Linked DNA regions of Caenorhabditis elegans. The protein of the gene in region 1 interacts with the protein of each later gene in a pairwise test. Each region holds a gene or a part of one and is shown on either strand. Other genes may lie near its edges. The genes, in order: sec-22 and sid-5.

The links.
Region 2: the proteins of sec-22 (region 1) and sid-5 interact in a two-hybrid assay, tested with the Caenorhabditis elegans proteins (one study listed by BioGRID).

The regions. Positions count from the first base shown.
Region 1 is NC_003284.9:1,033,526-1,037,777, forward strand, and holds sec-22 (Vesicle-trafficking protein SEC22b), read left to right. Parts: upstream 1-2,022; 5' UTR 2,023-2,026; coding exon 2,027-2,104; intron 2,105-2,155; coding exon 2,156-2,262; intron 2,263-2,329; coding exon 2,330-2,490; intron 2,491-2,536; coding exon 2,537-2,680; intron 2,681-3,222; coding exon 3,223-3,377; 3' UTR 3,378-3,541; downstream 3,542-4,252. Other genes in the region: stau-1 (DRBM domain-containing protein), read right to left, coding at 522-629, 677-791, 842-979, 1,545-1,661; F55A4.7 (Ovule protein), read right to left, coding at 3,563-3,601, 3,645-3,745, 4,107-4,155, 4,202-4,252.
Region 2 is NC_003284.9:6,902,673-6,906,515, reverse strand, and holds sid-5 (Systemic RNA interference defective protein 5), read right to left. Parts: upstream 1,796-3,843; 5' UTR 1,742-1,795; coding exon 1,688-1,741; intron 1,643-1,687; coding exon 1,493-1,642; 3' UTR 1,486-1,492; intron 918-1,485; 3' UTR 667-917; downstream 1-666. Other genes in the region: pes-23 (Major facilitator superfamily (MFS) profile domain-containing protein), read right to left, coding at 2,573-2,761, 2,807-2,926, 2,972-3,068, 3,430-3,632, 3,688-3,843. UniProt on the Caenorhabditis elegans protein: Plays a role in RNA-mediated gene silencing by mediating transport of both ingested and endogenous dsRNA between cells. Not required for the uptake of dsRNA from the intestinal lumen.

The DNA.
Region 1 (4,252 bases):
CATTCAGTTCCCGGAAGTTGCATTTTCGAAATAGAATGCGAGGCTCGGTTGAATCGCCAATCTTTTTGTTGGTTCGTCTCGTATGCATTTGAAGTGTGAACGATATCGAGAGGTGATCCGAGAGCAGAAAATTGGGGAGTAGAGTTGCATTGAAGGATTTGTACAACCACTGGGATTCCACTTGAACTGGGGTATGTTAAAATCACCGAGGATATAATGGCATTTGATGGTTGGACATATTAGTGATGAGATATTGGTGAAGAGACTAGAAGTTTGAGATTTAGTGGAATCAGGCGGTCTATAGACTATATCTGGAATTGGTGTGGGGATGGTCGAGGACTAAAATATCGCAGTGGTGGTTGCTGTAAAACTGACTGGAAAGAGAATCAGCAACATTTAAAACAATTGAGGGAGTGTAGAACACTACAACTTGTTGTTTAACCCAGAGCCACAAAAGAGCAAAAAGGAATTTTTGCCTTGAAGGAATTCCTACAAATAACCACAACAGAACAATTTCTCACCGTTTATCCTCTTTTTAGTGGGTTTCTCAGTTGGAAGTGGAAGTTTCGTGCCCTTGAGTGCTGCTTCAGCGGACGCTTGTTGTGCTCTTTTGATTGATGTTCCGCTTCCTGAACAAATTTTATGAAAATTTAGCTTTTTTTCTAGAAAATTTTACCCTCAAATGTCTCAGCTTCAGTCAAAACTAGCTTCACCGTGAACAATTTCTTGTGAGCCGGCCCACTTTCGTCTTGCAAATTGTAAACGTGCCGCAGCTTGTTGAATCGAGCTATCTGGAATTTTTATTTTATGAACGCAAAGTTTGAATCTGGAATTTTGTTACCTCTGCCACTCTACACATTGCCGACTTCTCCTTCTCTTTTGCATTTGTGTAGTCATAGAAATTCGTCGGCGAGTCTGCCTCGAATTTGTGTTGACCGCACCAATGTTGGGGATGCAGGCGTTCTGGTTTTTGCTCCGACTGAAATTGATGAGAGTTTTTTCCAGCAGTGCTTCAGAATTAGAAAATTGCAATTTTTGAAATTATTGAAATTTTACAGCTTTCCAAAAAGTACTGACTTTCCAAAAAAAATGTTTTTTTTGCAAAATATAAATTCTTGTTCAAAAAATATGTGCAACAGCTTAATGTTTCTTTGTAAAATTCGTTGTTTTTTTAAAAACATTTTTGGATGTTTTAAGGGAACCGATATCTCAGTATTTTATAAAATTTTAAAAGAATACAAAAATTAAAATTAAAAATTTCAAAACCAAAACCAAAATTCAAACAAAATTGAACAATTTCGTAAAATTTCAGTACTAAGTGAATATCTTAATAGCTATCAAAATGGCTCACATTTTGTTAAACGACATTGTTAAAAGAAAACTTAAGTAGGACAATTTTTGAATGGCCGGTAGTTTTTTTTTTTGAATATACCATCCTCGTGAATAGTTTGATTGGCCATTTTTTCCAGAGTTGAAGTTTTTTTAGATTTAGCATAGGTATTTTATTGATTTTTGCATTTTTTTTTTCAAACCAAAAAACTTACTTTCTCCGCAGAAATCGATGCATTTTCCAAAGTATCTGCCAGATCCGTAGTCGTCTCCTGTACTATCATCACTCCATCCATCTTCTGTGTGAGCGTTGTTTCAAATACAGCCTGCATTGGGACAGAGGAGGTAATCAATACATTTGGATGCACATCCCACAACACATACACACACTGTGTTCTCTTCTCTTGCAGGGCAATTGAAGGGCTGGCCAGTGGAGCGCGGTTGCGTAGCTGCGGCGGCTACGTGGTTAACAGACGTTGCCCTTTTCCTTTCAATGCGTATTTCACCATCGTTTTTTGCATTTTTTTTATGGAATTCGAATGTTGTTTTTGGATTTTTCAAGTTACGATTTAAAAATTTAATTTTCGTAATTAAAACTTTCAATGTTTTTGAAAACATGTCCGATTTAATCCAACTTTTCGCATTTTCCAACAAATTGCAAAATAATTTCTTCTATTAAGTTTTTATTTTCAGAGTAATGGAGCTAACGCTAATTGCCCGTGTACGAGACGGCCTTATTTTGGCCACATCGATTGAAGGAAACAATGACGGCAGTGTAAGTTGCCATTTTTCATTTTCAAGTTAATTTTCAGAAAACATGTTTCAGGGCGACTCAAGTATGGTGAAATACTCGAATCAAGCAAAAATGCTCTTCAAGAAGCTGAATGGGGCTCCAGCACAGCAAAGTGTAGAGTCAGGACCATTTGTTTTTCAGTGAGTTTTTGAATTTTAAACTCTAAAAAAAACATTTTGCTCAATATAAACATTTGATTCATTCCAGCTACATAATCGTCCAAAACATTTGCGCCCTGGTCCTCTGTGATAGGAATTTCCCGCGTAAAGTTGCCTTCCAGTACCTCAGTGACATTGGCCAAGAGTTTCTAAACGAGAACAGTTCGAGAATCGAGCAAGTCGTTCGTCCATACCATTTCCTCGAATTTGGTAGGTCAATAAAGTTTTGAAAATTTGCAACTGCGACGTGCTTCAGACAAATACATCCAACAAGCTAAACAAAGATATGGAGACACCAACAAACACGCAATGAATACGGTATCCAATGAGCTCCAGGACGTCACAAGAATTATGGTCACTAATATCGAAGATGTCATTCATCGAGGAGAAGCTTTGAATAGTGAGTTGATTTTCTTCCTGAAAAATTCAGCTTTTCTCTAACTAATAACTATGTTTGGACCTTGCATTTATCGACCTTGGTCAGTGCGCTAGATGATTTTGTCACTGCACCACACATTTTTTTTAGCTTATAAACGTTTTTTTCCCGATAAGTGATTTTTCAAATATGTTGTATTTAGTAGTACAATTCAGTATTGTTTGGAAATTTTAATAATTTTTAAGCCAGTCGCCACGTTTGGACAACTCACTATTTGAAACTGTTCACAATTTTGATTGGTGTTTTTGAAAATTTACTTTTTTACTTTTTAACTTTAACAAATAATTAAGCTTATTAATGTTTTGTTTTTTTTTATTGAAAAAAGTAGATAATCAAAAAGAAAAAAAGAAACGTTTTTTTGCACGTACATTCCTTTTGGTCAGTGCATTTTATATTTTCTGGTCAGTGCATTTTATATTTTTTGGTCAGTGCATTTTAAATTGGGTCATTGATAAGTCGCGGAAAAAATAAGTGGTCATTCGATTGCAAACTCTCTCAATTTTCAGTTCTGGAAAACCGAGCATCCGAATTGTCTGGAATGAGCAAAAAATACAGGGATGACGCGAAAGCCCTGAATCGACGATCAACCATTTTCAAAGTAGCAGCCTCGATTGGAATTGCCGGAGTTCTTTTCCTCATGCTCCGCTTCATTTTCTTCTAGAATTACAAAATTACCTATTTATTTCTCAAACAAAAAAAGAATCCTGATGGGTGTTTTTCTTTTCTCGCTGCTAAATTATTGTGTTTTTCACCTTCCTTCCAAATCATACGAATACTGTGTTAAATGTATTTTATTTTTTTGAAATTTAATGAAAAAAATTACAAAAAAAACAATACAAGCACACATCAGATTTGCCGCGATTCAGCTGGAGTGAACGTTGTAGACTGAAAATTAAAGTTATATTTTTCAGGGTATTTGAAAACTTGCCTGTCCACCAATCCAGGCTTTATATTGTTGATCATTGCCATCTGTATTATGTTGAGCTTCAAACTTTGGCATAGAGGAAGAAGGGGCAGAACATGCTTTATCTAAATAATTATATTTTTTAATTGGAACTTTCAGATAAAAAATGTAACTGGTACAAATATTTGTAATGTTTGCGGAACTTTTTTTTTGGTGACCAGAAAATTGAATTCAAAATCTAGAAGTATTCGAAGTTTTTACCAGAAAAAAAACGTTACAAATATTTCACTTATAAAAACTATTGAAAAAAGGAGACTGATGGGCATTCACTGAAGCTGCTCACCAAAGCACTGACCAAGTTAACCAAACGCACTGACCAAACTTATCAAATGCACTGACCAAGTTTACCAAACGCACTGGCCAAAGTTATTTCTGCTCTGTTCAACCTTGTACTCAGTTGAGTTTTTATTTCTTACAAAATCTCACCTTCTTCAGATTTCTCTACATCTTCGGTATCTTCATCAACTTTTACATACTGAAACATAAAAATACTCAAATAGTAGCACCCTTCAAGCACTCACTTCATAAATAACTTTATCATTTTTCTTCCAAAACTGCACATCGGAGTCGTT
Region 2 (3,843 bases), 5.9 Mb from region 1:
GTAGATTATTATTAAAACAAATTATACTTTGTATTGTGAACTCAAAATAATTTCTAGCGAAGTAATTTCCACAAGTTTTTTGATGCATAAAAAGTAAGTGATTTTAGAATTTTTACATACAGTGTTTTTCACAAATGAAGTGCATATTAACAATTTTCTTGTTAGATTTTTCAATCTATTCTCAAGAAAAAAAAACGTCGAAATTAAGCAACGCATGTCTTAAAATTAAAAAAGATAGTTGCACCCAAAATTGAAAAAAAAATCGCAAAAAATTGCTTCACAATACTAAAACGGACTATTATTACATTTTGCTAAACAGTATTTTTGTTGCTACACACGCGAGAAGTTCTTTGCAATTCCTTTACAGAAACAGAAAATCTTCACTTCAAAACAGTATTTGCGTTATATTGTCTCTTTTGGAAAAACAATGCAAAATCACATCGCAAACGATTTCAATTTGTAGTTTTTCAAAACTGAAATTTATGAAAAATGTATAAATATTTCTCCAAACTATTTCGGATGTATTTATTGTGCCTGCACAGAACTCGTGTCGATATTATTTACAATATCGGGCTCATTGTTCTTAATGCGATGGACAATCAAAACGCCCCGAATTCCTATTCAACCCACGGATTGACCTGTGTGCGTTTGACATGAAACTCAACGTTCAAGGTGGCATCAGAGCAACGATTTATTGACAGGAGAGAGAAAAAACGGGTATTATCAGTTTGCATTACATCATCCTGATAAGTTGAGAATCACAGAGTACAACTATGCAAGGCATGTGACAATTATACCAAAAAAGTTGATTGTTAATTAATTGAACGAAGAGGTTTAGTTGAGCGCGGAATGAACAAAGTTTTAGTTTTTTCGTTAAATAATTGCTGGCAGAAGTTGTACGAAGAAAGTGGGCAAATCTGAAATTTTTTGATACGATTAAAGTTTGGAACTATTTTTTGAGAATTAATAAACTTTCAGAAAATCATTAAAAAACCGAATTTCATAATGATGAAAATCAAAAATTAAAAAAAAAGGTTTTTAGCTAAAATCTCAAATTTTGCCACATTTCATGTATCGCAGAGGTTTAGAAATATTTTTTTATTAACAAATTCAGATAGTGTAATTTTTTGGTTTTTATTATTAAAACACGTTATCAGTCAATAAATGCACATTTGGATATATTGTTGATACTGACTGGAAAAAATGCTAAGACCAACATCCAAGCTCGAAAAAAATTTTGCGAAAATTCCAACACGAAGTTTGGCATTTTAGAGCGTCAAATAAACTAGTTAACCATATTCACAACACCATCTTCAATCAGACAAAGTATGGTTTAAAACATTATTGGATTTGAGATTTCAAAAAATGAAATTAATTTGGTTTTAGAAAAATCATTTTTCAATCTTCATAATTTGAACATTCGTTTTTTTTTTCAATAAGAAAGCTTTTACTCAATTATTTACACTTCGAGGAACAAAAACTTACCAAAGCTCTAGTCTCTAATTCCGATGATTGGCTCCTCATCATCAGCTGGAATTTGTTCTGCTCCTCGACGAATGAGTCTGTAGAGTCGTGCTCTGTTCATGTACACAACTTGTCCAATGTTGAAAAGAACCATTAGTCCAAGAAATACCAAAGCAATCTGTACAATAAAAGTTATTCAGCTGAAACCGGTTTTATTTCTTACGTCTCTCTCCCATTGACATGCGTGAAGGTTTTTGGCACAGTTTTTGCTGGGCATCGTTCCAGTTTCTCGATTTCTTGCTGAAAAAATCGATTTTAGACAAACATCAACAAAAGAAGGTTTTTCTGTTAGAGAAACGGCTGTTGTGAGAGACACGAGACGCAGGCAGTCGAACAAAACACAATTGACCGAGAGGAGTACGCGGGAAATAAGATGAATATGTTGTTTTGCTGTATCATATACTGGACAAATTTATTGTTGACGATTTAATAAATTATATATATATGTATACTAACATGCATAATTGCCTTTACAGATAATTTTTTTTATTTTCTTAATATGTTTTAAAACTTTGTCAGTAATTTAATTTTAAAAAAACAATTTAAGCTGGAACATCACAAAAATTGTGTAGAGATAACTATTTCAAACCATATTTGTTTATATTAAAATTATGAAATGAGCATATAAAATGAGCATAAAATGAGCAAATCATCATTTCTTCCCCATGCTTCACACATTTTTAACATTAGCAAGAGGAATGGCGGGCGGGGCCTGAAGTATTTCGCAATTCAATTTATTTATATGTATTTACAATTATAATATTTTGTAGCGATTATAGCGATTCACAAATTTCATCGAGCGGTGATGACTGAGGTTTGTTGCAGGTTTGTATTTACGTTGTCCAGACTTCACTTCATCAGGGCAAAAAACTTTATCAAAAACATTAAAAACTTATCTTATTTACTATCTTCATCGCTATTTTAGATTTGTGGCATCAATAATTTAATGAAGTTTGAGTATTTTGTCTCAAATTCAACCACATAGTGTTTCAATTTGCAGGAAAAAAAACGTGTAACTGTTTATTGTTCACAAATAAAAGACCAACTTCTATGGAACATTATTTCCTTCTCCCAATTGTATTTCAGCCAACACAGGGCCGCTTATATCGTTTTTCCTAATTTTAGAAACCGCTGGAACAGTTGATTCTGATGGTTGTTTTTCCTTTTTTGTCATATTCCTAATTTGGTGTATTTTCTGTGACACTTTTTGACTGATTCTTCGCAATGTAAATCCGATCTGTAATTTTTACGATACAACTATTTTTCCTATCGAAAAACTCACTTCTCCCAAATTCGCGTCTTTGCTTTCATTCAAAAAGAAAAAAGCAATTAAGAAATGTATGATGGCGGTGGCAAAAGCGATGAAAAGAGGTGCGGGTTCCCATCTTTGCTTCACAATTGTCTGAGAAGAATTCTCAATTTTTGAATGAATGACGTTCAAACAAACCATTTTGGAGGCCAGTATTCCAGAAAGTCTTGACAGAAATGAGCATGCTCCACTAATGGTACCTCGAACTTCGGTGGGAACTTGTTCCACAACGCAACTGCAGAACAATTATTTTCGATCAAAGTTTTTGTTCGGTTATGTTTAAATTTGAGAATATCTTGTTCAATTTTTAAAAACATACATAGAATTTCACATTAGGTATTTAATTTTTTCACAAAACATCAAAACTCGGTGAAACTATCTGCTCATCAACTGCGGCAGAGGCACGTGTATTGTGTGAAAGTACTCTCGCCACCCTCTTTCTATTAACAGCACTCACTTGATTGTTAAACACTACTCTCGAATATGTGGAGAGATGGCCGAGCGGTCTAAGGCGCTGGTTTAAGGCACCAGTCCCTTCGGGGGCGTGGGTTCGAATCCCACTCTCTTCAGTTATTTTTTTGAAATTACACACTTACAGGTAACATGCATCCCAAATAAATTCGATTGACGCGTATCCAATAAGGAACACTAATACATAAATTGTTGGGTAGTTTTTTTGAAGTCCAAAGAGTATGAGCACTCCGGATGCACACATGGAGATTCCGTTTATACAAAGAGAAATCAAATGAAGATTTCGACGGCTAATAATTCCAAAATATATTTCTACCAAACCAAGAAGCTGAAAATTGTGAACCATATTTTTGAGTTTATAATTTTCAAGTATGTATACGTACAATTTTACAAATGGCAGGTACTCCGGCAAGAAGCATCTGACTGAGAATCAAATTGTTGTGAAAAATTATAACTTCCGAAAAATCCAACATAGTTGCGGTGAAATTGGTCATTACCCAGATAGAACCAAACAAAATAATAACATTTCTGTATTTTTC